Nothobranchius furzeri: one gene and its partners. The protein of the gene in region 3 binds, or shares a complex with, the protein of the main gene of each other region. Links are inferred from orthologs where the notes say so. Each region holds a gene or a part of one and is shown on either strand. Other genes may lie near its edges. The genes, in order: taf7, gtf2b and gtf2h3.

The links.
Region 1: gtf2h3 (region 3) and taf7 share a complex: the UniProt entries of both Homo sapiens proteins name them as parts of the TFIID-containing RNA polymerase II pre-initiation complex. The link is inferred for Nothobranchius furzeri from reciprocal best matches to the Homo sapiens genes GTF2H3 and TAF7.
Region 2: gtf2h3 (region 3) and gtf2b share a complex: the UniProt entries of both Homo sapiens proteins name them as parts of the TFIID-containing RNA polymerase II pre-initiation complex. The link is inferred for Nothobranchius furzeri from reciprocal best matches to the Homo sapiens genes GTF2H3 and GTF2B.

The regions. Positions count from the first base shown.
Region 1 is NC_091741.1:82,924,793-82,934,462, reverse strand, and holds the end of taf7 (transcription initiation factor TFIID subunit 7), read left to right. Parts: intron 1-238; coding exon 239-359; intron 360-507; coding exon 508-566; intron 567-997; coding exon 998-1,070; intron 1,071-2,937; coding exon 2,938-3,048; intron 3,049-4,146; coding exon 4,147-4,341; intron 4,342-5,874; coding exon 5,875-5,987; intron 5,988-8,123; coding exon of another isoform or gene 8,124-8,135; exon of another isoform or gene 8,136-8,444; intron 8,445-8,465; coding exon 8,466-8,525; intron 8,526-8,839; coding exon 8,840-8,884; 3' UTR 8,885-9,099; downstream 9,100-9,670. UniProt on the Homo sapiens protein: The TFIID basal transcription factor complex plays a major role in the initiation of RNA polymerase II (Pol II)-dependent transcription.
Region 2 is NC_091751.1:71,415,085-71,425,369, forward strand, and holds the start of gtf2b (transcription initiation factor IIB), read right to left. Parts: upstream 5,491-10,285; 5' UTR 5,416-5,490; coding exon 5,399-5,415; intron 2,646-5,398; coding exon 2,533-2,645; intron 1-2,532. UniProt on the Homo sapiens protein: General transcription factor that plays a role in transcription initiation by RNA polymerase II (Pol II). Involved in the pre-initiation complex (PIC) formation and Pol II recruitment at promoter DNA.
Region 3 is NC_091757.1:46,812,371-46,822,604, forward strand, and holds gtf2h3 (general transcription factor IIH subunit 3), read right to left. Parts: upstream 5,192-10,234; 5' UTR 5,046-5,191; coding exon 5,036-5,045; intron 4,939-5,035; coding exon 4,859-4,938; intron 3,144-4,858; coding exon 3,037-3,143; intron 2,851-3,036; coding exon 2,720-2,850; intron 2,650-2,719; coding exon 2,587-2,649; intron 1,946-2,586; coding exon 1,916-1,945; intron 1,830-1,915; coding exon 1,801-1,829; intron 1,729-1,800; coding exon 1,654-1,728; intron 1,575-1,653; coding exon 1,521-1,574; intron 1,265-1,520; coding exon 1,196-1,264; intron 1,110-1,195; coding exon 974-1,109; intron 874-973; coding exon 837-873; intron 725-836; coding exon 655-724; 3' UTR 524-654; downstream 1-523. Other genes in the region: Rieske domain-containing protein, read right to left, coding at 7,129-7,416, 7,546-7,580, 7,698-7,902. UniProt on the Homo sapiens protein: Component of the general transcription and DNA repair factor IIH (TFIIH) core complex, which is involved in general and transcription-coupled nucleotide excision repair (NER) of damaged DNA and, when complexed to CAK, in RNA transcription by RNA polymerase II.

The DNA of each region.
Region 1 (9,670 bases), on a different chromosome or scaffold from region 3:
TGCACTTATTAGAAATAAAATGGAAAATGCATGCTCAAACCTATATGCACTGTAAAAAAACAACTAAAATAAATCAGAACTATTTTGAGTAGGGGGAAGGTAGAAGCATAAGATTATGGATTTCCAAACCCCTCCTACAATTTTAGAAACACAAAATTTTAACTCCACAAACACACGGGCAAAAACAAAACAAACAACAACGACAATTGACCAGTCTATTATTTTTATTTTTATTTAGATGCTGGTGTGTACACTAGATGGAGACCTTTTTCCTCCGCTGGAGGAGCCAACTGGCACCGACCCCAAGAGCAAAAAGAAAGATAAAGACAAGGACAAGAAATTCATTTGGAATCATGGCAGTAAGCTGATGAATATCTCTGCATAACTGAATTTTTAATAATTTGTTCTAAAGAAAAAGTCACATGTCAGCAGTTGTGGATGCAGACTTTGCCTCCTCAGCTGATTGAATCATTTTCACTTTGCTAACTCTTTTGTTTTGGTCGTCAGTAACCTGCCCACTGAAGAACACGCGCAAGCGACGATTTCGGAAAACAGCCAAAAAGAAGGTAGACATTTTTAAAATCCCACCCTCTTCCCCATTGCCCTGCTGTTTCTTTGGCATATTGTTTGATGATTCATATATTTCTTAAGCTCTGCTCCAAATGTACTTTTCATAAAACAGCCTCTGTGGTGAAAGTGAAAACCAAGATTAACATATAAAGTGTTCCATCTTTCCTCCAAAGGCATGCAAAAAGGCAATTTCACTACTGCTTTGATCAGAGTGAAAGTGAACAAGCTTGAGTGTGACACTTTTACTTTGTCTTTTGAATAGATCTTCCTGAAGGTGCTGAGCAATATTGATTTGGCTCTTCATGTTTTTAATCACAAAAGTACTTCCTGGCTTGGATCCAACAGTTTTTTGTGAGGGTGTGTGTGTGTGTGTTTGCATGTGTGTTTGTGTGGTTAAGAAGTAACCTGAACTCTGTTTGTTTTGCAGTACATTGAATCTCCTGATGTGGAAAAGGAAGTGAAGAGATTACTGAGTACAGATGCTGATGCTGTCAGCGTTCGTATCCTTTTCGACTCCCACAGTACAAAACATCATGAAAATCTCCCTAACCTGTTACCGTCCAGCAAACTAAAAGGGTTGTTTGGAAACAATACAGCTGTAAAGACAAAAAGAGACCATGGAGATGTTTATACAAAAGTTTTAGAAATTAGGTTTATGGGGCGAATATGTTTATATTGCCAAAAGGAAATTGAAATAAAAGCAAAAAACAGCTTTGATGAAATGGGGCGAAATTGTAGCCTGACCAGCTAGCTGGGAACTCTCCTATTCAAATGACCCCCCCCCCCGGAGAATTCGAACCAAGCAAATCAGTGCTGAGCAGCGTACGAAACACACCGTAACGATGAGTTTCTCATAAACAACGAAGACGGCTTCTGAAGCGGAGTTCGCTGTAGAAGAGCTAAAAGACTTTCTTCTAAAGAAAGATCTTTGCGCTGTCGCCAGAAGCCATTTTTGACTACAGCTAAAAAAAAAAACTTCAGCGTCGCGCGTTACAGTCATCATTTCCGCCTTTTTTTCTGATTGGTTATTTTTGAGTTGGCTAGTCCTGCCTCTCATGTGCCTCTCTGCCTGTGAGTAACCAGACCTGTTTACTGTGTAGAACAGAGGACGAGTCTGGCAGGGCAGGCTAACAAAATTTAGTTAGTTAAGAACTTAACTGAACAAATAGCAAGTATAAAATGTAAGAACTAACGATGTATACAGAAAAAGTCCACATTTATGTAAACAGCTTCAGTAACTGCATAAAAAATCACATTAGAATTGTTGAGAGGTTCTTGGGACAGTTTGATGCTGATTTCATGTAGTTTCACATGTTTTGCAAAACAGGAAATATGGTGTTTCATTAACAAGTTAGTTATAAAGAAAAAAATATTTAATAACAAATCTGCTAAACTCTTTCCAAAACCTATGTCTGGAAGAACAGTATCGAAAAAGATGTGCAATGTATTTTGTCCGAGAGGCATTGCTGTAGTGCGATGTCATCGGCAGGCCCCTGAGCACATCGGGCACCCTGAGTAGATCTGGTACCTACACCGTCTCTGATCTGCTTTCACATGTACATTAGTGATGTTGTAATGCCTGCGGGGAAATGGTGTGTTCTGAGAAAAGCTGGTTAACATGTCATAAGCAGGACACACCCCTTAAATTTACATGTTCCATCCCACTTCAGCATCACTAATATATAAACGTTGGTCACGGTAATGCTAACCGCAGAACAACACTAGCCCAAGCTATTGCTAAGGACCTTATTGGACAATAGGAAAACAACAAAGAAGAATGTCAGAGCTTGCATTGATCTCGGATGAATTTGGAATATTCAGACATTGAATAAATACCAGAGCTTGGTCCACACCTCAACCCCCCCCCCCCCCAATGTCCTGAGAGGATGAGCAGAAAACAGTGCTCAGCAGTATTATGTATGACAGTAGTCTCTGTCGAGGCTGTGGTGAAAACCTGACAATCTCAAACTTAACTGTGATGTACACAGAATTTAATATCTCACATTTAATCCAAGACCCAGCAGACTCCGTCCCACCCAGCTCTCTTTATCTGGCTCCGTGTGATGCTTTTGTGAGGCAGACACTGTGTGAAAAGAAGCTATTAGAGCTCTAATGAAACCCTGAACATTTCTGACAGAATAAGAGCACAGCGGAGCGGCTTTGTCTGGCTGCTTGCTGTGTGTTATTGAGACGGTCGGTTCATTATTGTTTGGTCACAGAGAAACTAGATTCTGTTTATGTTTTTGTTGCTAAATGTTGTCCCTCAGGTGTGATTCATAGAAGAGCTTATTTAGGTTCATCTCACAGGATTTGAGGTATTTTAGTGTTGGATTTTTTTAAAGATTGGCCCTAACTCAAGATGTTCAGGATGGGAAATTATAGCAGAGGATGAGTCCAAAGAAGCAGACCAGCATGGGTCTCTGGCTAATCTGGACTCTTCACCTGGTACTTCAGGACATAAGGGTCACGGGTCCTCAGGTAAATGTAAATACACGTTCTGTTTGATGAACAGCTGGTATGGACTTTGTTGACAAATCTGGGGTACAGATTAAGACTCTGATTGTGACTGCTTTCTATAAAACCATACATAAATCCTGAAAGGACGAAAAGCCTGAATTTCTGCTTTAGTCCCTCAGGAAAAGCTAGCATAGATCAGATCTTTATACATTCGTATGCATGTATTGTTTGCTTATAGACGCATTCAGTCATATGTTGCTTCTAGGGATGTAAGAAAATATTGATATAGCAATATATCGTGATCTTTTTTCCTGCGATATATCGATATTCAAAAGCTGTGTATCTAATTTTTGGAAGAATTTACATGCAAACGTGTGTATTAACTTTTCTTTTGGTGCAAATCAAATGCCGACCACTAGTTGGCAGCAGTGTACAATGGGTTCTGTTTCCACCATTGAATTGTAAATCCCTCTATCATGGGTCAGATACCTCATGTTAAACATGATAAGTATCAGTTTTGACTGTTTATTGAATTTTCCTACAATAAATTCAGCCTAAAAAAATCGCTGATATCGTCTGACTGAATGTATCGCAATATATCGGGATATATCGTATCGCCTCCCCGTATCGTGATTCTTATCGTATCACCATCATTTCACCAATACACTTCCTTAGTTGCTTCCATATACTTTACCAGTGCTGCTTACAGTTTGTAGCCTTTTCAATTTAGACTGTCCACTTAAGAAACTTTTGACAAATTTTAAATGTTACAAGTTTTTTTTAATGGCCTTTAAAATGAAAAACACCTTATTTTGTGATTTTATTTGTGCTGAGATATTTTTTTTTATTAAAAAGGAAATTAATAAAACATGATGATCTTCATGTCAGTTTTTACAAAACGCCCAAACAGTCAAGGTTTGGGTTTAGAGATCAGAGAAGATTATTCTGGATGTTTGGACTCCAGGATGTTTTCCGTCAATGACCAACAGACCAAAAATGTTATCTTTTTATAAACTTTGGTGTCTCCAAGGGAATTCAAAGCCATCTTAGTTTTCAGAGTTTCAGCGTGTCTTGTCTGTGTGTTGTTGTTAATAACACCGTTGTGCTCTGCACGGCCAGTCCCGCGCGACGAGCTGAGGGAGATCTTCAACGACATCAGCAGCTCAAGTGAGGAAGAGGAGGACGAAGGGGACCGGCATGAAGACGAGGACCTGAATATCATGGACACAGAGGATGATCTAGTGCGACAGCTCCAGGAAAAGCTCAACGAGTCGGATTCTGCTCAGCATGAAAGCGACAGAAACAACCAGATAGGTGAGAATTAGAAGTTTGGTCGTTGTTCATCACAAGGTCAGCAGTGTGGGGGAGAATAATCTCACACTTTAAAGCTGTTTAACCTTTTTCTAAAATGCAATGTGGGCCTCGTTTATAAAACTTTGCATAGAATCCTTACCAAAACCCTACTTAAGCTCAGTAAAGAATAAATTACTCACGCAAACTAGTTTACTACGACCTATAATACTCTGCTCACTCACAGCTGCACGCAGTTTCTGCTTTCTGTATCATGGCCAGGTTTCCTGTGTCCAAAGCGTACTCACGCCAGGTCCAGTGTTTGCTTGAATTTGCGCACAATTATTCTGTCAAGTTTTTCTGAATAAGTCACGTTTGCATGGAAAGTCACTTATGCAGTTTTCAAACCTTGTTTTCTGTGCAAGCAAGCTTTATAAATGAGGCCCCTGGTCTGTAAATTATCATTTTCATTTACCTGTTTAAACATTTTCAGGTTGCAGGTTCCAGGAAACGTCTGCACGTAAAGTGCAGACTCAAATTTGAATCTCTTTACTTCCAAATAACCTACATACCTAGCTGAATGAAGCAAGTGCTGTGTTGGATTATGCAATCTTTCATGCTGTGCTTGCAACTCACACCTCAGGGTAAATGTTCAATCTCTTAGCCAACTTGGTTGTTAATTTTTTTGTCAGAGTGGTCACAGCAACAAGGTTGGACTTTGGAAGAAAGTCAGACATTAAATTAAATCAGATCACCCCTAGGTACTTGTCGAAGCAGATGTAAAAAATAAACGGAACCAAGTGTTTGAACTTTTAATAAGAAGTGAGCTTTCTAGGTCAGACATCACACACAGTCAAAGAAATAGCCTGGCTTCCCCGTAAACGCGCATGCTGCTGCACCCTGCAGACGAACACACTGACAGCTCTCAGCTCTCCTCCTTAACCAACCAGGCTGACAGGTGTTGCAGCGCGGCATGCAGCTCAGACAGCTGTCCGGTCTGACAGCGCCGGGCCTCCTTATCTGCATACGTGAAGCTGTCAGTCAGCAACTCCACTGGTCAGCTGCAGACCAGCATCCAGGCAGAGCGTTTTCCAATATGTTGCAGAATGGTTTGCCATGATTCCAGCTGCTGTGCAGGCTTGTAATAAATGGTGCAGCAAGGGCCCCTTGCTGCTTAATTTAGCACAATACAGCAACTGCATTGGAAAATTGAGCACCAGTGGAAATAAGCAGTGAATGGATGCAATTAGTTAGAAAAATATGGAGCCAGTGCAGCTACAGGTTAGTGGGAATCAGTTGAATTGAATTAATTGTAACTCTCTTTGTTGAACCTACAGCAAACTGATTTAATTGTCTCATAATGCGTCACTGCTGCTGGTGCATCATCCGTTAAACAGACCAATCGTTCCCTAGAAGGTTTAATTTACTTAATCTGCAGTCATGCATGCATTGTTCTCCAGAGTTGTTTAGTTGCATCAAGCGATGCCAGACCATTGTTTTTTTCTGAGTTGTTTTAGGACCTTTTTTAACACGTTGGCCTCCTGCTGTTTTCTGCAGTTATGGAGTACCAGGTGCAGATTAACAACATAAAGGCCAAGCTTCAGGAAACTCTTGCCCGCAAGAAACAACAGGAAGAGCTCATCATGAAGGTGGAAAACCAGGCCCTGAAAGTAAGTGGCCAATGCTTTCTTTTTGCTCCTGAATTGCATGAAATCACTAAAACACACACACAGGGTCCGAAATTAACACTCGCCACTCGCCAAATGCGAGCAAATTGCTCCATTTGGCGAGTAAATTTTTGAGCTCTATCTGCCACCTGGCGAGTAAATGTTTGCACCAAATTAGTTATGTTTATCAGTCATCTTCCATGGATTTCTGTGATACTCCTCCCGCCTGCATGCAACGTACACAAACGTGCGCGAAACGTGAGCGCCGCATCCAATGTCATTTCCACCTATCCCATTCAATCAGTTTATCAAGTTAGCAGTTAGCTTCGTGTTAAAACTAGCGGTGAAATGTGGCGGTTTTTAACTGGAGTCAGCCAGCCTTCCAAAAGAAAACTCGTCGAACTGGAAGAAAAACCACCAGGACCAGTGGCAACCAGATTTTGTGAAAAGTGGCGAACTGGAGATGGCGGAGTCGTGAGACAATGGCTACATTATGATGGCCACGTAGCGTTGCTGCCTTTCACAGACACTTTTTTTCTGCACGTGCTGCAAACAGGATAGCCGTCTTCTATCAACTGTCCCTCGGCATTCTTCAAATATCCAAAAAATGCCCGTACTTCCCACTTTGTCTTCTTTGAGGGATAATAAATGTCCCAAGTGCTGCCGTCTCCTCCTGCCATTATTTCAGCTTTGGCTTCAAGAAAGTTTTGGTCGTAAACAACAAAGCGCGCATGTGCCGCCGGTAACTTCCAGCAGATGATACGGTGGCTGGTAAGGGTCACCGCGCCTACACCGCAGCCACGGTAATCCACCGAGATAATATATATATTTTTTAAAACAAGACGGTTATTATTATTGTCTACTTTTTTACCGGGGTTTACTGCTACACTGGTTACCGTGACAACCCTAGCCCTGACACTTTCAGATATTCTCATGGTGCAGCTGTGTTCTCCAGAGATCAAGGACCTCTTGGCCCTCATGGAGGGGGCTGTCTAGCACACTGCTGCTATCCACTTAAACATTCTCCTTCTCCTGATAATAACTTTTTGCTTTCCTTGACGTTGGACGTGTTACTGCTAGTTTACCCATTTAATTAGAGATCCACTAGGATAAATACAATAAAGTTGATCTCACCAAACATAATATTTACTAAGACATCACAATAGAACTATAGACACATTATTGTGTGTGTGTGTGTGTGTGTGTGTGTGTGTGTGTGTGTGTGTGTGTGTGTGTGTGTGTGTGTGTGTGTGTGTGTGTGTGTGTGTGTGTGTGCGCGCGCGCGCGCCTGCTCTGTCTTCTCGATCCCCAGTGAGTCGTGGAGGATGGCTGCTTATACTGAGCCAGGATTCTCTGGAGATTTCTTCCTGTTAAAAGGGAGTTTTCCTCTCTACTGTCGCTGCATGCTTGCTTAGTATGAGGATTGCTGTAAAGTCACTGACACTAGTCAGTGACTTGATGCAATTTGCTGGGTTCCTTATATAGGAAACTATTTCTGATTGGCTTAATGAACTGTGAATTGGAATGTTTATTATGTGAAGTGCCTTGAGACGACTCTTGTCGTGATTTGGCGCTATATAAATAAACTTGAATTGAATTGAATTGAAGTGACTATGACCCAAATGAGGCTGTAATGCTTTGGCACAAAGACGGTGTCAGAAGCAGGAGGCCAGACTTCATGGACAGAGAAAACAAGGAGTCTGACTAGATTTCAATGAAAGAGTTCATAAAAACATCTCTAAAAATAAATAAATAGTAAAAATGACAAAAGAGTTGTTTTTCTTATTAATTGATGTTTTAATTATTTTGTCACTCCGTCTGGAATCAACATAATATAGAATAACATGCTTTAGGTGGATCTAAATCATTTAGAATTTTGGCCGGTAAAAAATATGCTTGGCTGGTAGATTTTCATCATCTACCGGCCAACTTGGCCGGTGAGTAAAAAATTTAATTTCGGACCCTGCACACACACATAAAAATATTGCAAATTAGCTAATGAGCTGGAATGCAAAAATCTTGATGCAATATACATTCTGCATTAAAAATAACTGATTGCACATATTTTTTCATATATTTGATTCATTTAAATATCATATCTTCTCCCTAGCTAATTCCAGTTTAAATCTCAATGTGCAGGAAAAACTCTGAACAAGATCTGCATCTTCAGCCAGCTGCACTTTGGTGAAGACTTTACACTGAGGCGAACATGAGCAGACGTGACCCTTTTTATATGTTGCCATTTAGAGCTCTCAATTCATAGTGCTTTGGGACCATTAAAGCCTGATCACTAGTTGTTATTATCACAGTGGCATGGAAAAGGTCAGCTGTCTCTTACTGGCATTCTAAGTGGCCCTTCTGTCGGAGAGGAAGCAGCGACACGAGCAGGCCTCTGCAGACGCACATTTAAAGGCATCACAGTTTAAAGAGGCTCGGCGTGTCCACTCGTACAAACCTTTTTTTGTCTCTTGCTGGTTGCAGAACCGTTTCCAGGCCTTGCTGGATGAGATTATTCAGCAGGAGGAGCGGGAGATGGAGCAGGTATGTAACTGCCAATAATCTGTGCCATTGTGATATTTTTGTATTTATTTTTTTACTTCTTGCAGCTTTGTGAGGTTGTCAGTTTGAGCTTGTTGATTTCATTGAGGTTTCTGGTTTTTAAAAACATTTAGTATTCTTAATTCCACTTATGAGAATGCTTTTTTGCTGTTTTGTGGGTTTTGCTTAGACACTGTTGGGTGAGTGTGTTTAAGAAGAAGGCAGACATTTCATTATGAATTGTTAAAGATTTTTTACATGTACAATAACCTTGAGTTGTGGACCTCAGTCACATTTTCTGTCTTGTGTTTTCACAGCTGGCTTCCCTGCAGGAGCAGCTGGACTCGCTGATTGAGAAGTGACCAGCAGGGGGCAGTCTCAAGCCATCTTTAGCCAGGCTACTTCCAAGGATGAGGAAGAGGAGGAGATTAGGCTGAAGGCTGTACTTCATTAGGAGACTTGCCATGTCTTTTTTGTTATTTTGCCATTTTTAATACGTGACATCTGCAGCTTTCATGTTTCTGTGTTAATATTTGACATTTTCTGTTAAGTAAATAAAAATTCTGCAAGTTTCTGAGTGCACTCTAGACATAAATATCTGCTTTAGATACCTTCTTGAAATTAAAGCTTCATCTTATTCATTTTAACTTTATTTCACTCTGCTGCTGAAAAGAAGGAAAAACTAACGACCAATGTTAGCATCATTCATTCTATCTGTGTTTTTGGTATTCATTGTTGATTTAGTGTAACATTTAACAGAATAAATGAGCGTGAACCATGCAAATAAAATATAATTGCACCCTAATAAATGATCAAAATGAATCAAAAGCAAAGAACATCAATATTCCTGTGTTCAAATTTGCAAAAAACAAACAAACAAACCGGAGTGAAGTAAAATCAGCTCAAAAGTACCAGCAGTCATGTGACTTCTAGGAGTTTTAATACCAAACTCCTCAGTGATTTTCGTTCATTACACGTATACCACTGCTCTATCCACCCACACCTCTGGGGCCACACGCAGTGGCTCTTTGTGGCTTTGACTTAAAATAACAGAAATTAAATCAGTTTTTATACCCTCGATAAAAACATAGTTGGCTCCCCTGTGCAGTTTTGTACAAATATGTGATTCACAAGTTTGGCTTTAGTAG
Region 2 (10,285 bases), on a different chromosome or scaffold from region 3:
GGCTGCATGAGTGCTAATGGTGTTGGGGAGCTGCATCTCATTGATGGTATCATGAACTCAACAATGTCCTGGTCTATACTGAAGGAGAAGATGCTGCCATCACCCCGTGAACGTGGTCGTCGTGCACTTTTCCAACACGACAATTACCCAGAACACACATCTAAAGCTGCTGCTGCATCTCTGAAGGAGAGCAGGGTGAAGGTGATGAACGGCCAAGTCTGTCTCCTGATCTGAACCCAGTCCAACACCTGTGGGGAATTCTGAAGCAGCAGGTTGAACATCACTCTCCATCCAGCATCCAGGCTCTAAGAGGTTCTTCTTGAAGAATGGAAAAGATAGAAGTTGCAATATGTCGCCAACTTGTTCATTCAGTGCCTAGAAGACTTGGTGCTGTCCCTGAAAATCACGGTGGTCATACAAAGTACCAGATGATGTGGTTTTTGTTGTGGGGTGGATTCATCTTTGCTTCCAACACTTTTAGTAAAACTGAAGAATTTGTGATCCAAGTTATATTATTAACCTTAATTTCATGTTATGGAGTTAACACGTGTTCAATAAAACCGGCCTTGTTAAAGTCTGGAAACGGTTCTTTTGTTACTTTTTAAAGGGGATGTACTCATTTATGTAGAGCGCTGTACAATAATAAGAAACGTGTTAATATTAGGAATTAGGGCAATCATTCGAAAATTTATCGTTATCAAAATTTCTGATTCTTATCGTGAAAATTTTTCAAATCTCAATAAATTAGATAGTAAAAAACTGAAAAGATGTGTGTAGGTTGGCAACGTTCATGTCGCTTTAAGAAGCTGTACCACCTTGAGTCATGTAAAAATGTGACTTCACACAGGTGACAGCCCCATCTAGTGGACAGCTGTTGTTTCTGCACATACCTGTAGCTATCGTCCGGTTATCGTTATGGACTAGCCTGGCAGGCCAGACTAAACAAATGTATTATGTAGTCTGGCCACGATCCATTGACGGCTCTCGGTTGTGGGGCGGGTTCTACCGTTGTCTTTCAAATGATCTCCGCATTCCACTGGACAATGAATGTGACATACTCTTGTTTCACTCTGTTGCATCATCCCACCCACCAGGCATATAGAGTGCCCTGATTGGCCCACAAAGCGGATAAAGCTCTGTGATTTGTTCACTAAGCAGATAGAGCACTATGATTGGCCCCACCATTATGGACCAATCACAGCTCTTTATGTGTTTGAAACCCCTCTAGAGAGCTGTGATTGGCTAGCCAGAGTCCTGGTAGGAGCTGCGGAGGTTCCAGTGGAGCATTCCTAGACCAAACTTTGCAAAGCAAGAATTTGGTCTAGTTCACTAGGCTAGTTATGGAGGTGATGTCCTCAACATATCGTGATAATGATTTTAGGCCATATCGCCCTACCCTACTAGGAATAAATGTAAAAGTTTCCTTGTTGCTCATATTTTTAAATGGCTTACTCCGTGTGCGGCTGTTTTCAGCGACAGGGATTGCACAGCACTAGACTAGAACAGAAAGCAGATCATACTGCGATTCAAGGAGACAGAACCGGACATTTGCAACCACAGAAGCTCATCCAGTGTGATAAATATGCTACAAACTTGGCATTTTTGCTGTCTGTAGACCATTTATTGGTTCTTGGCTGGCTTAGCTGACTTGCTGCAGCGAACTGAGCAGGGTCAGTGTTTTTGTTAAGGTGGGGCATCAGTGTTGAACGCAGCACCACCTTTTCCACCTCGTTAAATGCCAAGTTTGCACTCATTACACGTTTATTTCACTCCCTTTGCTGTTCATCCAAAAACACATCCAAATTACAAACATGTCCTTCCCCCAGAGGTGACAAGTGTGACCTATGTTAGCTAAATGCTATATGGTATGGTGCGTCAATTCACAGACCACCTTAAAATGTGGGACTTGTGGTGTTGTTGTCTCTGAAACAAAGAATGCAGATTTAAATTTAAAACTAAGCCCTTGTTCTCCGGTTTAAAAACATCATCTAAAGTAATGTTTGTCGTTTTATATGGTTAAATCCGACTTTCCCAACTGATTCTGATTTCCTGAAAACCACACGATCAAAAATCTGGTCTGATCATGATTTACAGGAACTCGGATGGGAGCATCTCTACTGACAGCTGTGCAAATCTGCTGTTGCTTTTAGACGACGTTTTCTTTTGTTTGTGTTTTATTCACCAACTCGTCTCAACGAGACATTCAGCTCCAAAAGCAGCCCAACGGTTCAAATAACAGCAACAAGAGCAGAGAACACAACCCTCACAAACGTCTGACACAGCGTATAAACCCACCGTGAGGGACTGGTCTCATCCCAGTAGGTCGGTGGAGATTACCTAGTATGTGTAAAACTGCCCTTTAGTCGTGTAAACCCAGAAACGAGCTCAAACATTTCAAACTAACTGGTGTTTACTCAGGAGTTTGACTCATCTGCAGCTGACAGGAAACCACAAGGAGACGGTTTTCACTGAAACATCTCAGATATTATAATAATAATAATAATAATAGTCTTTGAAGATGTAAACACTCACCAACAACAAGGCCACATTCAGGACAGATCATGTCTCCTGCTCTGTAGTCCTCCACCAGTATGGCATCAGGGTGGTTGGGGCACGTAACCCTGGGCAGGGTCAGACCTTCACCGCTGTGAAAGCCAATAGGGATATATTTATGTGTGTTAATTACATAAATTACAAATCAACAAGGTGAACATAAACCTTTGACCTGCTAAATGAGGCTTGTAGGGTCTGAGATGGAGCTCTTGGGTTGTTTGTACTTCTGAGCTCAGGATGAACCACAGATTAAGGTTCTGCATTTATAACTCATCTTAATCTCTGTGGAATGAGCTAGTAAATAGTTTGGAGATAACCTTTAACCTTTCCCAGCAACAGAAGGTTTTGGGCGTCACTATTCCAAGCAGATCCCCTTGTACCCGGGAACGACGCAAGGCCAAAAATGAGCGGGAACCAAAGGAGTAGGAAGGAGTTTAATGGGATGGACCGGGGGGGGGGGGGGGGTTGGAAATCTGATAAATCTGTTTTAGGTAAATATGTAGGTCAACCTCACTGAAAAAAATACATTCAATGATTATTTCTGATTCTAACGGGTCACTCTGAGTGTTTCATGCAGGCTGAACATGAAAATAGTCTCCTACACCCATCTCCTGCATTCGCTTCTGATAGAAAACAGACGGTGGAACTCTAGGATATGAAAAGCCTGACAGACGAGACTTGGGGCGTAAGGCAAACCCCAGAAAGACTAGAAAATAACTTTATAGCAAGTTCACTAACATTCTGTTTATTGATCGGGGACTAATGAGCCAACCAGAAGGGGCGGAGACTTAGGCTCCCCATTAGCCGGATCCAGGTTTGATTACTGGCCAGCGTGGACGTGTTAATGATAAAAAAGCTGTTAATAACATGAACGTAGGATATATGATCTTATTCCTATGGGTAGAGATGTGTAAACAGATTTAATACAAGACTAAAGCTGTGAATATTCAGTCTGAACTGATCCGACTCTCATCAGAATATTTTAAACTACATCAGCCAACAATGCTGACCAACAATCAGAACTATCTGTTTGTTTGTGACTGAATGAAAAAATACATCATTCACTCACAACAACAGCTGGAACTACGTTATTATTCAGACGGACAAAACTGCTGTCTAGATGCACCAGAATGCAGAGTTCAACACTTACTTTTCTAGTATGTCTAAGGAAGCATGAACAGCATGGCCGTGCTGCCCAGCTCTACTTGTAATGGGATTACATAAATGTAACTGTGTTCACTTAATATTACATTCAGATCTTCCTCTCATCAGCCACTAAAATCATCTCACTCTTCACTGTCTCACCCTCAGCAGGTCTGGTGCTGCCTGTCTCACCCTCAGCAGGTCTGGTGCTGCCTGTCTCACCCTCAGCAGGTCTAGCTCTCCCCGTCTCACCCTCAGCAGGTCTGGTGCTGCCTGTCTCACCCTCAGCAGGTCTGGCTCTCCCTGTCTCACCCTCAGCAGGTCTGGCTCTTCCTGTCTCACCCTCAGCAGGTCTGGCTCTCCCCGTCTCACCCTCAGCAGGTCTGGTGCTGCCTGTCTCACCCTCAGCAGGTCTGGCTCTCCCCATCTCACCCTCAGCAGGTCTGGTGCTGCCTGTCTCACCCTCAGCAGGTCTGGCTCTCCCTGTCTCACCCTCAGCAAGTCTGGCTCTCCCAGTCTCACCCTCAGCAGGTCTGGTGCTCCCTGTCTCACCCTCAGCAGGTCTGGTGCTCCCTGTCTCACCCTCAGCAGATCAGATGGTATGAAAGTTGTTATAAACTGCTGCGTCTCATTGGTCTGGCTTAGTAACACAATCGAGAAATGGTTTTGTGGATTTAGACTGATTTACCTAGGAACTGTTGAAAAAAAAAGTCCCTTAATTTTGGAATAAAATCCTAATAAAAAAGATCTGATTGTGTGAAATGTGTTAACACTGTTGTGTCTTGTAAATGTAGTTTAGTAACACAAGTCAGAAGTTATTTTGAGTCATTTAGCAAATTATTCTGGAAGCTTTTAATTGTTTGTACTCGTTTACAAAGGACTACAAATTTGTTGATAGTCCCTAAGGGAACCACCGTTCCCATTAGCGAGTCCGCGGAACCCAGGTTACCGCTGTCTGTGCCGCCGTGCACGGCATGAAGACTCATCTCTGACCGTGTAAACCGATGTCTGTCGAACATCCAACTTCAGGCTAACTTCACCGCGGTGCTCAGGGACCTAGTAGCAGTGCCCGCCCTGGGACTGGGTTCACATCTCGGTCGGGTCACAGCAAAGACTTGAGACCCACTGCCTCCCTGCTTGATACTCAGATAGATTGGGGGGGGGGTCAAACCACCAAATGGTTCCCAAGCGCGGCTGTGTCTGCAGCCCACAGTTCCCCCAGGGATGGGTGAAATGCGGAGAACAAATGTCAACTAGTGGAACTTTAACTTTAAACTTTGAGAGCCGAGGGAGCCGATGGTAACGATGATAATCGCTGTAAACATCCAACGTGGCTAAGATTTGTTTACAAACGTCCAGACTGACTCGGAGCTACGCTGGTTACTTATTCACCATGGCACGAGCCTTCTCCGCACGCGAACCGACGCAGAGGAGCTTCAAACAGAAACGAAACTAAAGGGATCCGCACGGAGCTGCGAGGCGCAGCGGCGACACAAGCAGAGATTTCTGGTAGCATCTGACGTTCTCCAGCAAGCTAACTGCCACCAGACCACAACTAACCCTAAACGCGTTACATCCACAACAGCAGACCAGCGTCGTCTGTTAAAAACACTCTTGTACACATTCTTCAACTTCTCACGTTCTCGGAACTTCAACTAGAGAACAAACATGTTTTGCAGAGTTGGTCCAACTGGTTACGCACCGGCTCGTCGACGCCATGTTCTTCCTTTCTCTTCAGTCAGAGAAACAAATGATCCAGTCACCTCTATATAAATACTCGGGTCACGTGTCACTAAAACTACGGAAAGCACAAGAGTCAAAACTAAATCAAATTCTTTTGTTTGGGACGTGGAACCTGTTGGGTTTTCGGGCTTCAAAATAAAATTGTGGCAAGGCTGTAGATACCAGGGGGATGAACTCCTTCCGTTTGTTAGGAGAATGTAAACTAGTAACTCGTAATCAGGAATCTGACCCTTCAAGGGTCCCCACATGATAGAAGAAGAAGAATAATTTTTATTTATTTATTTAGTAAATTTAAAAACAAACATGGCACTTTGACAATGTTAAGTCCAAAACTTAAATTCAAAAGGAGCAGTTAAAATAACATTTGTAAATATCCAGTAAAAAGACAACAACAAGAGACAAAAGAACATGAAGAACAAGTAGAGTACAGCATTTATCATACAGAATTAGGAAATCACTTTGGAAGTTCAGCTAACATGTTATATAGATTTTCGTTATATTTGTTGAGATGTTTCAGGGATTTTAAATATAATTGAAATTCTATTAAGAACATTGAAGACAGTGGATGATTGTAAAATTCGTTGTTTATGGATAAAAATTTGGCTAAACAGAGGATGATATTATAGCAGTTCTTTATCTTTATTATTGAATATAATTCCAAATATTATCATATCTTTAGTGATGTGAACTGGGAGTGGTTTGATCCACACCTCTAGCTTTTTCCAGAACAATTGTGATTTCTGACATTCATAAAATATATGATCTATAGTTTCTATGTGGTTTTTGCAAAAAGAGCAGTTGTTGCTATCAATATTAAAACGAGCTCTTAACAACTCTTTTGAAGGATAGATTGCATTCATTATTTTAAAGTGGGTTTCTTTAGCTTTCGGTGGTATAGGTAATTTTAGGTAGATAGTTCTTATTTTCTCAACAGACGTTTTATCAGATGTGTAAATTATGTTATTTTTGTTTGTTTTTCCAGGAAAAAGAGATTCATTTAAGGGTGATCTTATTGTAAGATCGTTGCATTTTCTGTCAGTTAACAGAAGACCTTTAATAGATAAGATAGGAAGGATTGGAATACGGATTCCCAAAGTGTGGTGCGTGCGCGAGCTGCCGCTAGGAGGTGCGCGAGCTGCCGCTAGGGGGTGCGCGAGCTGCCGCTAGGAGGTGCGCGAGCTGCCGCTAGGGGGTGCGCTAGGTGAAAAGTGTAATGGCTGTGGAGCTCAGAGAAGTCTGTCATATGTCACCATTAGCGTAGCCAGAAACTCATTTGTGGGTGGGCCTAAGAAAAAGTAAGTGGGCCCAATAAATGTAATTGAAAACAAGTATATTTTTGCGCGCGCGTGTCCTCCACATGTGCCCTAGCTTCATAATAACAATGCGCCGAGCTTCAGCGCTCTGGCCTGCGCACGCCGATATGTTCCGTATTTGATCATTTTTAACGGTGTTGGAGAAATCTGAAGGTGGTGAGTCATTCTGGCAGATTGTAATTAACACCTGTCTCATGCAGGTGTTCTGACACCTGCATGAGACAGATATATATATATATATATATATATATATATATACACATATATATATATATATATACATATATACATATATGTATATATATATATATATATATATATATATATATATATATATATATATATATATATATATATATACATATATGTATATATGTATGTATATATATATATATATATATATATATATATATATATACATATATATATATATATATATACATATATACATATATGTATATATATATATATATATATATATATATATATATATACATATATATACATATATATATATATATATATAACGGTGTTGGAGGGTTAGGGTGATAAGGAGGAGTGGTCCAACTGAACAGGAAGTAGTACAGGATGCGGGACAGAAGAAGGCCAACTGAAGAGACGTCTCAGAATGTGAAAGTCCTCCGTGGGGGAGTTTGACTTTGAGTGGACCTGAAACCAGCTTACAAATATAACGATCACATGGGTTTGGCTGTCTTGTGTTTGACTGAGATATGTAACTGACAAATAATCACATTGTTTTGCTGTCTTGTGATAAAAAGATGTATGTAACTGACAAATGATTACATTGTTTAGGCTGTCTCTTGACTGGTTGAGATATTGCTTCACTATGGAAAATGTTTGGCTTGGCAGTTTTTTAGAATGATATAAAAAGAGCAGTTAGAGACAGACAGAGCATAGGGAGTAAGAGAGTAGAGGTCGTTGACGAGAGGAGTGAGAGCGTGTGAGAGTTAGTGTGTGACAGTTAGAGTTGACACAAGTCGACGAGGTATCACCAACAGGTGCAGGAAGAGAGAGCAGTTATTCTCAGGAAGATTTTTAGAAGCAGCATCCTCCTAAGGGGATTTTTAAATCTCAGATTTACTCTTGTTTGTATTTTTTAATTTTGAAATTAACTTTTTGGAAAAAGAGTCCTCATTCTCGATTCTTAAAGGTCTCTTTAGCCTTTGAGTTGGGAGCCCCGACCAGATCTAAAGGAGAGGTAAGCCACCTTAAACTGCTTGTTCCTGTGCTTCAGGACTTGTTTTCAGGTTGTGACAGGTTAAGAAAAGATACCTGAGGTAATGGGAGCTAGTCTCCTCTCCTCCCTAACGTAGCAGGACACCCTGAGGATTATAAATCAAAATGGTTAGTTGGTTCAAACAGGCTCTGTTCTGCACGTGTGAAAAAGTCTCTGTTTAGCGTGGGAAGGAACCATTTCAAAGGGTGGATTAATTAGATTAATTGATAAATCCATGTTAGCCTGATCAACTAACAGGAATCATTTTCTAATTACCATCGCCCACATATGCTGACAGAGGCGCAAATTAATCCTGATAGGACCCAAATAATAGTCAGCTGGATGGCCTCCAGTGAACTTCCGCCCTAGTATTTAAAACAATTAAATAACGGGAGATTTAAAAGGGAAGTGTGCTGTCACAGAAGAACAAGTACAGCAATCTCCATTCCACCTTAAAATAGAAAACGAGTTCTAATTAAGGAGTCCAAACCAGGGTCTGCACAATAAAACTCACCTGCGGCCTCAACCTCCCTGAAAAAGCAGCGTATTCTAAGGTTCTAACGGAACCGATAAAAGTACACGCTCGCTACACTAGGTTACAGAAATAAGCAGTGTTTTTCTCACCTTCCTCAATCCAGAAGAAGAAGAAGAAGAAAGTCCACTGATCTCAGGCTCAGGGGCAGAGTAGCCCTGCATTGAAGCCCTAGGCCCTCGGGCCAATGACTGTGTAATTACCTCGGACACGGGCCGGGCCGGGTGCCTTTATTTTTAATCAAATTCATAAAAAAATTGAAACACTAAACCACTCAAGAAAAGATTCCCATCTGAACATCTGAGCTGGACACTGCTCAGCGCAGCTCACTGTCAGACCCCTGACTGAAACGCAGCAGTAGAGCCCTGCGCGGGACTGTTTCCTTCATCCCGCTCCTGCCCGCTCCTGCTGAATTTCTGACCATTACCGCCCGCACCCGCAGCGTGCATGTCTACTCCCGCCCGCAACCGCAAAACTCGGAGAAATTATTACTTCACAATAAAAGAGATGTATTGAGTTTGCGTCCTCAACATGTCATTTTATAGGCTATACCAGGGGTCGGCAACCCGCGGCTCTTCCATCCATCTGATGCGGCTCTCTGTGCTTGTAAGATAATGACTGGATATTTAAATAAAATACTTTATATTTTACTGCATTAATTTTACATCTGTAAGCCAATTCTAAATGTAAAGATTGTCTGCGTAAACCTGAACAGGTCCAACCCGGTCTTACTGTGAGACCGGGTTGACGGGTCACGCTTGTGTGTAATCATAGGCGCTTCTGAGCTGAAGATGTGAGATTCTGGGATTCTCCTCAGACGGCTCCTGGATGTGTCGCCACATTGGAGACAGGAACAAGCACTATTCAGCCAAAGTTTCATCATCAGGGAACATTTTCTAAGTGACAAGTCTCTCTGAGAGTCAGGGTTTAGAAAACCCTCGCTTCAGTGGGAGGAACCTTCCCGCATGCGCTCTGGTTCTGCAACGCGCTCCAAGCCAATCTCCACATCTTCAGCTCGCTGTGCACATATGCGCTGAGCAGTGTCCAGCTCAGACGTTCAGATGGGAATCTTTTCTTGAGTGATTTAGCTACATCTGCGATGTGCGTAACGAAAAAAATGTCAGTTCGTCTGCATGCGTCGGGGTAATTCTTTCTATTCTTTCTTCGTCAAAATAAACGGTCAAATACGGGAACTGTCCGGTCAACACAAGCCCTGCTTTTGACTGTTTTGTTTTCTTGTGAAAATTGTTGGAAAGAGATCAAATTTAACTTGATTACCACCAGAGCCAGGCGCACTGCGCCGTCATCTCCGTGACGGTAAATGAGGGAAAAACAAATTGATCTGATCCTGCACGTCTTTTAACACATTGGTCAGGATTGACGCACTTTGTTTTCATTTAGTTGGTTAAAAAAAAGTCGGACTCAGGCTCGGGTCGGGCTGGGGCTCCACCCCCTCGGGCCGGGCCGGACACGGGCTCAGATTTTAGGCCCGTGCAGGGCTCTAGGGCAGAGGTCCAGAGTCTGGGGGCCACAGCAGCATTGGAGGCAGTCTCCACAATTGTGTCTGTGCTGAGGTTCATATAATGGTAAAGAATACAATTATGATAACCCAATAGTATAAGCAAAAGTCTGCATAGGAGTTACAACTGTTCTGAAAGTTGGACTTGGATGCAGTTTTTTGTCTCGCCACCTGTTTCCAGTTGACAAACTTGTCTTTTTTCATTAATATTTCTCATCAATATCAATTCTAAATATTCCTCTCAA
Region 3 (10,234 bases):
ATCCTATGTGTTGGACTAATAAACAGCTCGAGATGTGAGAAAGTATTCCCCCCCCCCCCCCCCCCAATACCAAGTTTTACATTTTTGACAAATGTTTCAGGTCAGCAGATAACTTGATTAAATACAAAGTAATGTAGTTTTCAAAATGATTTAACTGATTAGTGGAAAAAAGTTATCCTGACCATCCTGGACCCGTGTGAAACAGTAACTGTCCACCTTGTTAAATCAACTATATTGTTAAAAAAGCTGAGACTGACTCCCCACACCTCAATTATACCAGGCTGATGGCATGGAGGCTATAAGATCTCAAAAAGCAACACATTGTGCTTCGTTCTAAAGAAATAACAAAGAACAACATCCAACGACCTCACTTGGTTAAAGTCGTGAAAAAAACATCTTGATCTCCCGGCAGTTTGGGGAAAATAATTTACTGTTGAGTTTTATTATTTAAAATCACAAAAATAGTTTCAAAACAGTTTTAATGAAAACAAAATAATCCAGACTTGTGAACAAATACTAAGACTGAGCTTAAAATGTAAGTTTAATGCACATTGTATTTTCTTCAAAAAAATCATTGCTCCTCTGGAGCAAAAATACTGATACTGTTTATGTGAATCAGTCACTCCTGTTGCCTTGAAGCTGAAAAAGAAAGCATCACGCTGGCAGCTTTGGTTTCTTCTTTTTGGGTTTAACCATCTGTGGTAGTTGGATTTTAAAGGCGGTCCTAAAAAACAAAGATTCTAAATCATATCTGTGCCAAAAAATGAGGAAAAACACTTGATATACATTTAAAAAATCCTTACGGATGCAACAACTTAGAATAATAACAGACTTACTCGCATGTTGTGCAAATAGGGCTGAAGTTGCAGAAAACTGGAAACAGAAGGAAATTCACCCACAAAAAACCCCCCAAAGAAAACGTTAAAACAACGTCTCCAATATTGCTTTGACACATTTGTTCTTTTAGACTCACTTGACAAGCAAACCGAGCACACGTAACCTATTTCTATGAGGGTACGGTGGCAGAAACAGGCGGCTCTGTAGTCCACGTGAGCAGGTGGCGGCAGCACCAGCAGCGAGCGCTGCTCCGAGTCGGGCAGGAACACCCACTTTTCACAAAACATAAAGATCATTACCTCAAAGTAAAACAACAACCACGCTCTTAGAAATATGCTCAGCAAACTTCTTTCCTCACCAGAAGATACTGAGCCAGCGCTACTTTTTGTGGTATTTTCAGGTACAGACCTCCAGTTATATCACAAGCCTAAAAACACACCACAAACATTTACTCATTCAGTCATTTTCTTAAGCATTTTACCTAGAGACAACTTAGTCAAATTCAAAGATACTTTATTAATCCCAGACGGAAATTAGTCACCACTAAGCTAACATGCATGTTTACATGCCAACTCCATGCATGAAGGCTGCAGCCAGGATTTGATCCTGCAACCTTCCTGCTGCTCCACCATGCAGCTCTAAATGAAATGAAAAACAAATGGAAAAAGGATGTAATGAAGTACCTGCTGAAGGAGCCCCGAGTCTGAATCCAACACACACGCATCTATCAGGATATTCTGGACACAAGTATTGAAACAAACCAAGTAAGTGTTAAAGACAGGTGTTAGATTAGCAGAGTGAGATACACAACTCCACCTGCTTTTGTGCAGCAAAGATCACATTCATGAAGTTCATGTACTGCAGGGCGCAGTCGTCAGCTGCTTTTATCACCTGTATCACAATTAAAACAGAAGATGAGCTCCAGCTCAGCAGGAAAAGTCAAGAGAGAAAGCAAAAGCTCACCAATATTCTTGATTTAATCTCCTGTGCAACTAAAAAAGAACAAAAAATAACTTATGCAGAGTGCTAAAATAACAAAACAAACTGTTTTAATTTGATAAGGGACATATGTTATTACCTCCCACCTCTTTTGAAATCCTGTTGATATCTGGATAGTTCTAGATGGAAGGAAATGTTACAGAACAATTCAATCACACCGAGCTCTGCAAAAAGAAATAAATCAGCCTTGACCAACAAAGTCCTGGTTGAATGAGAAATAAACTAATTATATAAGATGATTTTTAAAAGCTCCTCCTTGAACCGTCACCTTGGAAGAGTTTGAGTGCCCTATGATCCTAGGAGCTATGCTGTCTGGGGCACTTTGTGCCCCTGGTAGGGTCTCCCATGACAAATTGGTCTTAGGTGAAGGGTGAGACAAAGAACGGTTCAGAGGATCTTTCATGGATGTACAATCAAAGAGTCACCCGGCCCTGAGGGTTACCGGGGTCCCACCCTGGAGCCAGGCCTGGGGTTGGGGCCCGTGAGCGAGCGCCTGGTGGCCGGGCTTCCGCCCATGGGGCCCGGCCGGGCCCAGCCCGAACCGGATACATGGGCTCATCCAACTGTAGACCCACCACCCGCAGGAGCAACATGAAGGATCCGGTGCAGTGTGGATCGGGTGGCAGACCTGCCGGAGGAGCTGGTGGAGAAGGCCGGGGAGAGGACAGTTTGGAGCTCCCTAGTTGGGATGCTGCCCCCGCGACCCGGACCCAGATAAGCGGAGGAAGACGACGGTTTTTAAAAGGATACAGCACAGAGCTTTGGCAAGGGATCCAGCCAGAAGAGTATCAGTCGAATTTCCCGTCAATTCCGCTGCAAAAAAAAGTATTTAGTCATCTATTTACTCCAAATTCTTCCCTACGTCACACAGACTTGCACCTACTCTTGGACATGATATCCCTGATCTCTTCAGCGATGAGGTTGTTGGTGACAGATAGGAGCTCATATTTTCCATCCCTGCTGGAAGACGTATCATCGTTCCCTTTCAAACGTTTACTTGGATACAGGAAGTGACTGAGAGGAAGAAATGCAAATGGAATTTAACCTCTGGATGCATTTATGGACATTTCAATGTTGACCTTTTGTTAACCTACATGAACTTGTAGGTTAATTGGGATCTATCAAGCAAATGTAAAACAGTCAAGTTTTGCTCAAATCTGGAAACTATAGGAAAAGTTATTCCATGAAGTATAAAGTTACCTGTCCTGGCAGTGAGCAGCGATGACAGCCAGCTGGTTAGTCCTGGTCATAGCCATGTGTGCGTTTCCCATCACCATGACTGCATCCAGACACTTGGACAAAGTGAACTTTAAAAAAGAAAAAGAAAAAACAAACATAAATATATATATATATTTTTTCATCACTCCTCTAAATCCGAGACCATGGTCTTGAGTCAGGAAAGGATAGAATGCCTTCTCTGGGTCAGGGATGAGGTCCTGCCCCAAGTGGAGGAGTTTAAGTATCTCAGGTTCTTGTTTATGAGTGAGAGAAAGATGGATCAGGACACTGACAGGCGGATTGGTGCTGCATCTGCAGTGATGTGGGCATTGTGCCGATCTGTCGTGGTGAAGAGAGAGCTGAGCCGGAAGGCAAAGCTCTCGATTTACAGTCGATCTACGTCCCTACCCTCACCTCTGGTCACAAGCTTTAGGTAGTGACCGAAAGAACGAGATCATGGATACAAGCGGCCAAAATGAGTTTTCTCTGCTGGGTGTCTGGGCTCTCCCTTTGAGATAGGGTGAGAAGCTCAATCATCCAGGAGGGGCTCGAAGTAGATCCGCTGCTCCTCCCCATCGAGAGGAGCCAGTTTAGGTGGCTCAGGCATCTGGTTAGGATGCCTCCTGGTGAGGGTTTCTGGCAGGGATGTGAATCTTAGAGCAACTCACTATTTGATTCAATTCTGATTCTTGGGGTGCCGATTCGATTCTGGATTCTCAAATTAAATCGATTCACAATCAGTATTAACAAAGCATGTCAGCGCCAGGATGAACTACTTTGTTGTACAAGTTAGTTAAAGCTATGGGACATTTTTATTTGACTTTAAACTGGTCATGCTCCAAAAACGCAAATTTACAATGTAAAATAAAGTGATTCTAAAACTGTAAACAGAAACAATCTTTTGACCAAAAGGCAACATTTATTTTTGCTTACCTTGTAAAATATAACAAATCTGTAGTTACCTAACAGTAGCTTTGAAAGTAATATGGTCAAATACTTTTCAAGTATGTGTAGAAAAAGTTACATGAGTAATCCTGAGTACTCATTTATCAACTTAGAAAATAAATAAGAGAATATCTCAAATTTCTGAGTATGGAAAAAATTACATTCAAGTGCCCTCTTATCAGCAGATTCAAACATAAATCATCTCAATTTATGGGACCACAAAAGTAAACGGAGTACTGACTCTCCTATCAAAGATCAAAAAATTGCATCTCAAACCTGTAACATGCCAAATATTTGAGTTCTTGGAATCGATTCTGAATCTTTATAAATAAGAATCCCGATTCAGACTTGAATCGGGTTTTTTCAGCACCTCTAGTTTCTGGGTACGTCCAGACCCAGAACATGCTGGAGGGAATATGTCTCTCGGCTGGCCAGGGAATGCCTTAGGATTCCCCAGAGGAGCTGGGCCAAGTGGCTGGGAAGTGGAAGTCTGGGCCTCTCTGCTTGGGCTGCTGCCCCCACGACCCGACTCCGAATAAGCGGAAGAGAATGAATGGATGGATGGAATGTGTAATATGAGATGTTGGTAATCAAAGTATTTTTGTAATCCAACACATTTCTAAAGTAGTAACTGATGTAAATTATAGAAAAGATTCATTCAAATAATATTTGGTGACTCAAATAGGAGAGAAGAACTTATCCCATGTATTAGATCTTGTCACAATTATAAAATATCCTGATTTAATATTAATAAACCATAATCCGTTTGTCTGACTTAAAAAGATTATATATCCTTACTACATATTGTCAAAATGTGATTTTAGTGACACTGCATATAAATAAATAAATAGTCTGTCACCTCCGGCTCGCTCTGAGCATGCTGGCCCCACCAGATCGGATTCACGTCCACCACAACCACCAGGAGACTGATTTCTCCCTCTGAAGAAATGAATGTATAAAACACCATTCTGCAGACTTGAAACAACAGTAATATATTGCATCAAAAGAACGTAGTGAGACAATAAGCAAAACAAACCTGATGCCATCTCGAAAGTATTTAATCGAAACAAAAGAAACTAAAGTTTTTCTAACAGATTTTTCTGTTGATAACTTCCGTCCATGGTAGAAGACCGAACAAAAAGTGTTTAGGGAAAAAAGCTTTTTGTCGCCGCTAGATGTGCGTCATCACTGTGCGACGAGTTTCTTTTTCACTGCTACAAACCAGCGCAGTGCTGCCACCTGGACTGTTGTTTTGTTTGCCAAATATCACATCCATTGCAATAAGCGGAGGGGTACCAAGCCCTCATTTCCATGCTTCTTGAACGAATTTAAATTATTCTACTCTTCATTAAGTAAAATGGAAAAAATGCGAGAATTATCTCACGGCAAATAACTGAGAACTGTTTTGAGTTTCCTTTGTAAATCATGCTCCTTTGTTTTTTATGTTATTTTGCAGCACGAAGGTTGCAGGTTCGAAACTCGGCTGTGGTCTTTCTGCGTGGAGTTGCGTGTTCTCCCCATGCATGCGTGGGTTTCCTCCGGTTTCCCCCACAGATCACAACATGCCATATAGGTTATAAATTGTAATAGTCGCTTTGGATAAAAGCGTCTGCTAAATGAATAAACATAAACATTTTCCTTTTCTTTGATAAGCCCCTAGCCTGTTTTTAAGCTTACATCCTCCATGAGAGTTTGTACCTTAATGTCGTACCTTGTTCTGTTATGTCTTTGTTCAGGAATAATAATTAAAAAATAAATAAATAAACAAAGCAGTACACCGGTCACTGTTCACGTTAATCAATATGGCGGAGTCACCGGTAGGTGAAAAAATAAACAATATAAACATCTAAGAAAAAAAACCTGGACTGTGACTTTTTTGTGACATCACACCAACGCCACAAAATATTTTTTGTGGCGTTGGTGGAAAGTAGAAAACACAACTACTAAAATATGTACACAATAAATAACAAATGTATTTGTTGAGATCTAACAAAGTGGATAGGCATGTTTCTCTGAAACTGTACTTCACACACCTGTTCATGTTCGTAAAAAAAGTTCTTGACCCTAACTGAAGCAGCTGTTTCTCATTCGTTAATTAATTAAATGTATATTCTAACAAAATGCTTCTGTTTAACAGCAAGTATGCATCTGCATTTAAAAAAACTACAAAAACTAAACATTTTTGTAAAACTACTAAAGCTAATACAAAAGAAAAAAAAACAGACTTTATTTGGACATATTATAAAATCAATTTGCATAGGTATAACATTTTATTAAAACGATCAATTTCATAAATGGCCTGTACTATATAGCGCCATAGGGGTCTTTTTTTCCGTCTTGCTTTCTGGCATCTTTTTTCTGTTAAAGTCAACTTCTTTACAGTCAGATAAAATGACAAAAGATAACAATACATACAAACATGAAAAATAAATGAATAAAAAAAGGAATATAACCTCTCAAGGCACTTCACAACACAAGCAGTCATTCACATGCTGGTGGGGATGAGCTACAGTGTAGCCACAGCTGCCCTGGGGCGCACTGACAGAGGTGAGGCCTGTCATGCACTGGTGTCACTGGTCCCTCTGACCGATACCAGCAGGTAAGTCGGGTTAGGCGTCTTGCCCAAGGACACAACAGCAACATTCTCCAGTGGGAGCTGGGATCGAACCTACAACCTTCCGATTGCTGGACAATCCACTCTACCTCCTGAGCTGCTGCTGTTCCTGACTCAAATAAGTTCCATTGTATATCATGTAAAAAGCACAAAAGAAATCCCCTACATTTCTGATACAGTTAGCTCAAATGGGGTTTCGTACAATACCTCTAGCAATGGTGGCTGCACCCTGTTCACATAAAGTTTTGTTTTCATCCATCTGCTGGGATATTTTTCATTAAGCATTCATGGAAATGTCTGAAAATGATTAGCTAACAACCTTGCAAAGTCATTCAGGGCATAACATCTTAAATAAATTATCATTAATGTTTTTTAACTACTTTCTTTCTGTCTCACAGAAAGACCTTTTGTGTTCTTCATTCTTATAGATGAAAATATTGTTTATTTTTTAAAACAAAGTTTTTACTAAGGTATTTTTGCTTTATTATTCAGTAGTCACTGTATTCATCAACATCTTAATTCCTTGGGTTTGGAGTTTGGACATTAAGTGAGACAGTCCTGTATTTCTCCACTTGGTAAACATCTGACTCGATGGGCTTGCTGGAGTCATTCAGTGTTACGAATATGTTCCCACCAACTTCAGTGACTTTATGAACCCTCTGCTTGACACCTTTGGAGCACCAGTAAGTCCTTATCGGTTTGACTGTAGGATTCTCTACAGCTTGATAAAGTCCTTCTCCTTCTGCTAGCGTGATCTTGTATTTGTGCCAAGGACACACAATGCACAGGCGTCCATTAAACTCCTAATGAAAATGATAAGACAGTCTGTAAATAAATACAGTTTATATAAATAGGTAACACAGATATTTATTTATGAATTCCATATATATCTGTTGAATTCTATTATTCACAGAAAGCATCAGAAGACCCACCTCTATGTCTCCATTCTGTAATTCACCACCTGAATCTATCAGTGTAAAAAAAAGAAGGCATTATGCACAGAAATAGCCATTGCAAATAAATAAAACAATCACAGCCATAATGTTATCCACTTTGTCAACAAACACAAATGCTCGAAGCTTACGGTAGCAACGCCTGTCCATTGCATAAAGCTGCCCCTGGTGATACAAGACCAGAACATCTCTGCATCCATTCACCAATTTGGTCACACGTCCAGCCCTGACAATGTCCTCCTTCTTTCCAATAAAGTGCAAAGCAGGAGAGGAGGGTGAAGACACAAGAGACAAAGAGGAAGTGGATGACTGGGATGCCTCCTCTTCTGATAACATGTCGAACACTTATTAAATGTAGTTTTAGAAGGGAATAACTGAAATATTCATTCCTTTGTAAGGTGTTTTTCCACTCCTGCTCCTTGTCTGCAAGATCCTTGGCTTTTTTAAAATCCTAAATAAAAAAACATCAAGAAAAAATTTAACTTAAACAAAGTTTAAAAGAAGTATTTTGTTAAATTAGAAGGTTGCCATATGACCTTCTGCTGTTTCTTCCTCAGTACCTTCTCCTCATTCAGCTTTCTACCAATTCTGCCTTCCTGAGATCCACTGATTACCTTTCATATTCATTTTCATTTTCTCTTTTTCTTACATTTGTAATCAATTTTTTTCTTTTCCTTGTTTTACATATTTATATATTTTATTTTTCATTTTATATTCTTGTGAAGCACCTAGTGATTTTTATCTTGAGAAGTGCTATATAAAGGATCGTTTTTTCTTCTTCTAAAGGTAAAATAAAATGTGACAAATCAGTCTGAAATGGAAAATCAGTGGAAAGATTGTGACAAATGCTTGGAAAATTAGTGAACTCAACTAATATGAATTTTTTTTAAAACATCAGTTTCATTGAGGCTTTCTAGTCTCAGTTTCAGGTTATTGTTGAATTTATTCTGCTTCTTAAAAAAGTTAAGACACACTGGACATCATTGCAAGATTATGAACTAATTGTATCGTAGGTTATTTCTACAGTGAGTGAAATCTAACAAGTTAAGCTGTTTTTAACTAATAACTAAACTGACATATTTAGATTTTATGTCATGTCATGTAGTTTGTCAGATTTCCTCGATAAAACGTGTACAAGAGCTTGAAAACACAAAAATAAACAACAAATATTAACTTTATATATATTTATATATTATAAATCTACCTTTTACTTGCCCCTATGTGGCAGCAGGACTTCTGGGTAACGTCCGGCTTATCAGACACTAAACTCCGCTGGTGTTTTATCTTTATCAAGCAGACTTGCTAAATAACTTGGACAAATTTCAAATGACGAAACATAAACATCACTTTCAAATTTCAGGAAACCCTGTAGACGTAAATAAAAAATAACAGCTACGCTACTGGATACCCACGAAGAAGAATAATAGTGTGTTACATCAAATTTAGTCCTCGCTGAAACACGAAGCGGAAGTTGTTTCTGTTTCCACAGAGTTGAATATGAATTAGAAACCAGCCATGTAATTAAACACGAAAACGCAGTCAGATTGCTGTAACGTTTAGGTGAAGCTTTGATATGAGCAGTGCAACAACATAATTTATTTGGATTTATTGTAGAAAATTTACATTCACGTTTTTTTATATTTACATGTTTTTAAAAATGTGAAATTGATTTTGTTACAAAAAGAAAAACGAATATATTAAATGTGAAATCTTCCAATGAAGCAAAAAAATATGTATATATCTGTCTGTCCCTTTAAACCGATAGGCTTCTTATGGGTTGCTGGTGGGCATAAGCCTTATACGGATTATCTCTGTGTGTAATAGCTGAACTGCTCGTTATTTCGACCGGTTGTCCCACTGAAATTCTTTATTTACGTGTGATAAACTTTTTTTTATTAATTTTTTTTTGAGCTGACAGAAAAAAGGACCAGTCAGCTGTTTGTGTTGTTATGGAGACTAATTCTGAGTACGGAAATACCATCCAGGCTGGCAGCTTAAATAATTAATGTTATTTCGGTTAAACGTGCTACTGTCCGATATCTTTGGCTGCTGAAAGATAAAAAGCCCAAAGTAAGTAAGTATTTTTAATTGTTACTTTTTTGAAAACTTTATTATTTTAATGGTGGTATTTAATTTTCTGCAACTATAAATATAGATCCATTTAAGTTTGCAAAGGTGAGAGTTGCATAATGCCCACAGAGATAAATGCACAAATGTGTCTGCATGTACTGGTCTGTGTCTCAGCTGTCCCACTCTTATCACATGGCAGGACAGTTACAGCTGCTGGCCAATCTACAGTAGAATTAGACTGTTGCTAGCCAATGTTTGCTATATTTATCAAAGTTGCTGCAGTGAAGAATCCTGTGTCAACTGCACTTTGCGGCTCTATCCTGCTAGTGTCAGATTTCAGCATCCCATGCTTTGCCTACCATCAACAGAGCGAGGTTGTAGTAATGACCCAGTGAGCAACCATTGGTTACAATTCTCTGACAAATCACCCTACAGGACACTGTCCTGAGTTGTTGTTGGAGCAGGTTGCAGTGTGAGGCCTTTTTGAGATGTATTCTGTGTAAGAGGAGTCATTTTATTTCTGTAGATTGATAATCTTTATGCTTTTGCTCTTTCTGATCTATGGATGAATACATTGTCTGTCTCAGAGGTGGTGCAG